2 linked regions of the Yarrowia lipolytica genome follow. The protein of the gene in region 1 binds, or shares a complex with, the protein of each later gene. Links are inferred from orthologs where the notes say so. Each region holds a gene or a part of one and is shown on either strand. Other genes may lie near its edges.

Region 1 (3,174 bases):
GACGCTTCCGAATCAGCGGCAGCCAGACCAGCCAGACCCCCTCCAGTCAAACCCCCTCCGCCTACTCCTGAACCAACCCTGGTAGAACAGCTCCTGGAACATGGGCTGTATGAAGGTGCTCAGCAAGACGCGTGCGAACGTCTGTACTGCTCCAAATGCCGCTCGTACGCCAAAAAGACTCGATTCGCAAACGTGGTTCGCCTGGCCACCCATCTTGACGTTAAACATCGGACTTTCCGACTCAAGATCTTCTGCGATCACAAACAGTGTCCTCGCTCCATTGTCGGTTTCGCCAGCAACAAGGAGAAACATGAACATCTCAAGCACATCCACGGACAAGTGCAAGAATAGAGTGAGATAAAGTATAGACGAGAATAGTTATTTATTGAGAGTAGCCAGTGTGTATGGAACAATATGTAGTGACTGAAGAGAAGACAGACGTGAGTATAACACGATAAAATCGGATGCACCCAACTACTTCCCTGCTATGATACCGGTATCACTCTTACAGATGGTGCCTGTTACTGCGAAGACTCATGCCGGACGGTAGCAACCCAGCTGTACTTGTCACGACTACACATACACGCCAATTAGTCATTTCATCCATTATATATCCATACCATCATTGCTGCATTACTGCAGACCCTTGATGACCTCCTCCTGTCGTTGCTTCTGCTTGGCGTCCTCAACGCCGCCCAGAGATCGCACCTGGCCCACAATGTCCCGGGCCTTGCCGAAATACACCTCCTGCAGCTGGTTTCGCAGCTTGGACTCCACGTCCTCAACAATGCTTCCGAGGTTTGCGATATGCTGAGAGGGTTCATCGACAGCCATCTCTCGCTCGGTCTGTCGAGTCAGGTTACCGGAAAGGCCGAGCTTGGGGGACTTGGAGCCCAGATCGAGAATCACGGTGGATGTGACCCGGTAGATCCCCTCTCCACGGCTGGTCTCAACCTCAAAGACGTGGATGGAGTCCCAGGACGACGAGGGCGAGGTCTTCTTGAGCAGCACAACGCCGGCAAAGCTGTTAGTATTGTCTCCTTCGCCCTGGTCCCACAGGTAGACCGAAGAGACTCCTCCCTCGTAGTACAGGTCTCTGTAGATGTCAAAGGAGTCGTTGGCGAGAACCTCGAGTTTGCGCAGAGCCGCCGAGGGCGTGGGGCCGTCTGTTGCGGGCTCGTAGTCGCCGGACCATGGGGATCGGAACGAGTCGCCGTCTCGGTTGTAGTCGCAAGTCAGGTACTCCTTTTTGGTGGATTTGCAGGTCTTGACACCGAGAGGCTGGTCGACGGAAGACAGCAGGTCCTCCGCAAGTTCCGGAGCAATCTTGCACAGGGAATTGAGGTTGACGCTGACGTTTTTGGGATCCAATCGTCGCAGAAGAGACAGAGCAGCGTCGTATTGTTCGTCAGACTGGGTTAGCGATTGCGCGACGGCCGGGGGGAGGAAGATCACGTGGAATCTATGGGGCGCAATGCCACGTGACTGCCATGTTTACTGTCAGTCCGAATTGTGTCTGTTACTCACCATGGTGGACGGTTGGGTATGTACTGTACTGTACTGTTGTGATGATGATGTTCAGATATCCACTGCTGTTAACACCGCATGCATTAGTCGTGCGTTACTACAAGTAGTGGGATTGGGGAAAGTTTATTTTGGGAAAAACGTAGGAACATAAGAAGCAGAAGTAGGGAGCTGGAGGAGGGTGTTGTAGAGTGAGTGTCGCGGGTGTGGGGGTGTCGAGGTTGTTGGAGGAAATGGTGGCATTAATTACCCTTTAAATAGGGCTATAAGTGTTCTAATTGCTATCTGTGGCATTATTTTGTCATGGGTGAAACTAATTTAATTTACCTCAGTTAAGTTTCAAGTAACTCCCGTCTAAAATTTCAAAAGAGAAATTAAAATTTATAGCGAAAATTCAGTTTCTGAATATAACCCAATAAGTAGTTGAAGTGTAAGCTGGGACACGTTTTGACTGGTGGTTGTACTTAAAAAGACCGAATGACACATTGAAGACGGCTGAATGACACACTGATACCGAGCCTCGGGAAACACTTACCAGCATACGACGAAATCCTGACAAATACGGCCTTTCCTTATCTCGAAACACGACCCAAGCACCAAACGCCAATTTGTATTGTCTATACTCCGGAGTTAAATAATTACACCTTCCATCGCGACTTGTAGTTACATTATCAGATTATGTAATACAGAGGTATATTTTATGTATATTTTATGTATATTTTATGTATATTTTATGGACAAGATCTCGACTGATAATGTATACCATCCTACCAACGGAACCGAGCGTCTCAGCATTGTCTACTATATCACCACCCATTCATCTTTCCATCTTCCACCTTGTCTCGCCCTGTTTCACCATCGCCGTGTTCCCTAACCCTATGCATTATCGTGCATGTTCCAACCTACTTGGTGGAGCAACTAACCGTCTTCACGAAACGCACTAGAACGATGAAGAGACTCATTCCGACGGTAATATCGGTATTGCTGGTGTTTCTTACACTCACAAGCCCTGTTCAGTCGGCAGGATGCAGCATATACGGCAACTGTGGAAAGAAATCACTATTCGGCAGCGAACTACCCTGTCCGACACCACAAGACAAGGCTGGTCCGTTTGAGCCTTCCAAGGGGGATCTGGATCTGCTAGGAGAGATCTGCGGCGAGGTTTGGACACACGAGAAACTTTTATGTTGTGATACGGCGCAGATCAAGGATCTGAAGAACTCGCTGAAGAAGGCCGATGGTCTGATTTCATCGTGTCCGGCTTGCAAGTCCAATTTTTACGAATTCTTCTGCAAGTTCACATGTGCCCCTGACCAGCGCGACTACGTTAATGTGACACAACTGGGCAAATCGACAGACGGACGAGATATCGTGACAGAGTTGAGTTACTATGTGAAACCAGAGTGGGCTCAGGGGTTCTACGACTCGTGTAAAGACATCAAGTTCTCGGCGACCAACGGCTACGCCATGGACCTGTTAGGAGGCGGTAGACACGGATACAAGAACTTTCTCAAGTTTCTGGGGGACGAAAAACCCATGCTCGGAGGTTCCCCCTTTCAAATCAACTTCCCCTGGCCCGAAGATGAGAAGGACAAAAACTACCCTCCCAAGGGAATTAAGCCCGTGGAGCCTGTTCTTCGAGACTGTGCA
Region 2 (3,285 bases), on another chromosome or scaffold:
TGGCATTCTCTCGATCTGCTGGTTTCATCTATGGTATTATTATGTGTCTAGGACGTCCTCAGCTGGCTTCAACTCCTTTTTCCTGTATCGTGGAGCAGGGGAACCTCAAAGGAATGCAGTACCGGGGCGATTGTACCCTTCCTAGACATTTCACCCAGTCCAAAACCTCACTTCTTTTACCCTACTAACCCAGACGGACACTGTTGGAAACATGATGACCTCGGTCCGAGGGTCTGCTTCCAAGCTTGGACGGTCGCTCAAGGCCGGACACCCCATCTGGCGAACTGTTGGCATTGCTCTGGCCATCATTCTCCTGCTGTGGTTTCTGTTCAAGTTTTTTTAATGCATGAGGAGAGTAGAAGTACTGGTAGTACCATGAGCGCGTTCGGCGCTGTGTTTATAACTAAGAAGATTGATCGTAACACCACAGTACCGATACCCACGTACTGATCTCATAATACGCAAAGCCTTATCCTATATAAACAGAGAGCGCTGTTTACTTACTCTCGTCCTCCACCAACGTTAATATCCTTACCCAGCCGGTAGTTGGAGATGGATTTGCCCCAGTTGATCTTAGATCGAGTCACGGGCAGCTGTCGTCGCAGGGCCTTAAACGAATCCTCGTTTAGACCGTTAAATGACTTGTTGAGCTTCTCCTGGAACTGCTGCTCGGCTTTGGAGATGGCGTCCACAATGTCAGATTCGGACACAGAACCAAGGTCCACCTTCTCGCTGGACTTGAGACGGACATTTCCGTCCTCGTAGTAATGCACATCCACGTCGATTGTTCCGCTCAGAGAGCCACTCTCGAAGATGTACACAGACCGCCACTTTCCGTTCCAGTAGTTGGCAGGGTTATACTTGCCATCCACAAGCACAAGGGCGATAGATCCGTCATCCTGAGGAAAAACCCCAGCAGCCCCCTCGGAGGGGAAGTGGGCAGAAAAGTACTTATCGAGAGCCCCTTGGATGGGCGAGTCAGAGCCATGGGAGCCCGAGGGGGTGGCCTTCTTTGTATCAAAATCGAACTCGAACTTCTGGCCACTCTGGCTGTCATAGAAGGTGTCCTTGGAAAGCTGGTTATATTTAGAGACCAGGGACTTGGACTTGCCGAGAGACACAACCATGCATTGGTCGAGAATCTTGTTGTGAACGTCGGTTTCCAGTTTGGACAGAATCGAGCTGTTTCCATCAACGACGGTGCTGATGGCCTCAACGACCTGGTTGAGCTGCGTTAGTATGGGGGTACAGAAAGACGTTCAATTGGATCTAATTAGCGGCCTGCAAGATATCAAGGCACGCGTTTCAAGTTCAAGTTCAAGCAACCGAAGTAAATGACGTGACAACATAACCCGTACATCTTGATACAGGGGAGACTCCGTATCAGGCCCGTGCTGACAGCGCACGAATCCTCAACATCCGTCCGCCAACAATTGATACTCACCTCTCCGGGAGGGGCGTCGGCCACGAAATCGGCCAGGGCTTCTTGGTTCGATCGAGACATTTGTGTGGTGTGTTGAGGAGATGGTGATGTATATGCACACCACCAACAGAGTTAGCATACGTGTGATAAGTGAGCTATTTTTGGACTGATATTGGCGGTGATGAGTGAAGGAATTGGAGTAGGAGGGAACAAATAGAATAATTTAGAAGAGTCGATAATATAACCGGTGCGGTTGTATTCGTCCAGACTCCGTTCTCGGACTTCGCAGTCTAGGAACAGCGGTTACTTGACAAACCTTATTAGTTGACCACTTTACTTACCGAATACTTACAGTGAAAGTTGGTATTACAGTATGCTGAAAAAAAAACAAGAATAGTACAGTCGTGCAGAAGTGAAAATGACGAAGTCACTTCACTACCAACTACAGTATTGAGCTTCTGTTATCCTTTTTATCCATTTCAACTATCTCCCATAGTTGTGAATGTATACGATGGAATTGTGCCTCAATCATTCCCTAAACTCCATATATTAAATGCGATTCTATAGTTTCCAGTTGTCGTTTCTCTTCATTCATGTTTTCTTCGCCCTTCATCCACGCTAGAACTTGGAGAGCCATGTCTGTCCAGGGACCAGCATCTTGGCTGCGAATACCATGAATCCTCCTACCATCATGGTAACTCCTGCAAACACCTGAAGTCCGACAAAGCTGGTATGTCCTTCGTCCAGGGTGGCTCCTGCAATAGGCATGGCAGTAAGAGCTGCCCAGGAGCAGAAGAAGGTGACTACACCCAATCGCCTCCCAATTTCATGTGGCTCGGACACTTCCGCCACAAGAGCTGCAAACAGACCAATATAGGGTCCAGAGATGAATCCGAAGACTCCAGAGAAAGTGAAGAAGGCCGCGTTGCTGTTGGAGGGGATCCAGAAAGCCAGAAGAATGATACCACAAAGAACACAGCATACGGAATGCATGTTGTAAGTACCCACCTTGTCAGCCATTATACCCGGCAAGATTCTACCCAGAAAGGAGGCTCCGTTGTAGATTGCCACGAGGTAGAAGGAGACTGTTTCAGACATGCCGTGGGAAATAGCGTGGGTGGACATGTATCCCATGGTTGTGACAAGTCCCCAATACGAAACAAACAGCGCCGCGGTCATCATAGCGAACGACTTGTTCTTGTAGGGTTCAATAACCTCTTGTCGGAAATTGAAGAAGTTCTTTCGTAACTTCTTGTTAGGAGGCAGTCGAGAAGAGATGCAAACACAGCAGATGACTCCCACTCCAAGCATGATGTATCCAATGACTCTCACAGTGTCATTAAATCCGATTTTAGGCTGTAGTTGAGAGAAGACGAATGGCAGGGTCACACCTCCAATCGACGAACCTCCAACTACCACACCCAGGGCGGTAGCTCGTCGTTTGACAAACCACGTGTTACACGCGACCATTGATGCGTAGTAGACACAGGAGTTTCCGATAGACGTGCAGATTCCCTGAGCCAGCAGGAACTGGTAGTATGTTTTGCACTCAGAGGTTGCCATGATTCCTCCCACTGTGAAGAGCATACCGACGATAGCCACCGGCCGAGGCCCGTACATCTCAGCTAGTCTTCCGAAGAAAACTCCTCCAACCAGCAGAATGAAGAACTGTAGAGACGTGATCCACGAGACGGTCGATGCCGAGTAGCCGTCTAGTTGATGATGCAGATAGTAGGCCTCGAAAAGACCCACAACGTTGATGTATCCAAATGATGAGTAGAGACCCAGAGCTCCTCCAACCATGGCGATCCAAGCCCGGCCCCTATCGGGCTCAGGGAGCTTCTGCACAAGGGGCTCTTCCT

What was found.
Region 2: YALI1_C28706g (region 1) and YALI1_E06137g share a complex: the UniProt entries of both Saccharomyces cerevisiae proteins name them as parts of the F-actin capping complex. The link is inferred for Yarrowia lipolytica from reciprocal best matches to the Saccharomyces cerevisiae genes CAP2 and CAP1.

What each region holds. Positions count from the first base shown.
Region 1 is NC_090772.1:2,869,207-2,872,380, forward strand, and holds YALI1_C28706g (uncharacterized protein), read right to left. Parts: upstream 1,531-3,174; coding exon 1,528-1,530; intron 1,414-1,527; coding exon 634-1,413; downstream 1-633. Other genes in the region: YALI1_C28686g (uncharacterized protein), read left to right, coding at 1-351; YALI1_C28716g (uncharacterized protein), read left to right, coding at 2,473-3,174. UniProt on the Saccharomyces cerevisiae protein: F-actin-capping proteins bind in a Ca(2+)-independent manner to the fast growing ends of actin filaments (barbed end) thereby blocking the exchange of subunits at these ends.
Region 2 is NC_090774.1:612,512-615,796, forward strand, and holds YALI1_E06137g (uncharacterized protein), read right to left. Parts: upstream 1,505-3,285; coding exon 1,445-1,504; intron 1,230-1,444; coding exon 501-1,229; downstream 1-500. Other genes in the region: YALI1_E06119g (uncharacterized protein), read left to right, coding at 194-343; YALI1_E06158g (uncharacterized protein), read right to left, coding at 2,042-3,285. UniProt on the Saccharomyces cerevisiae protein: F-actin-capping proteins bind in a Ca(2+)-independent manner to the fast growing ends of actin filaments (barbed end) thereby blocking the exchange of subunits at these ends.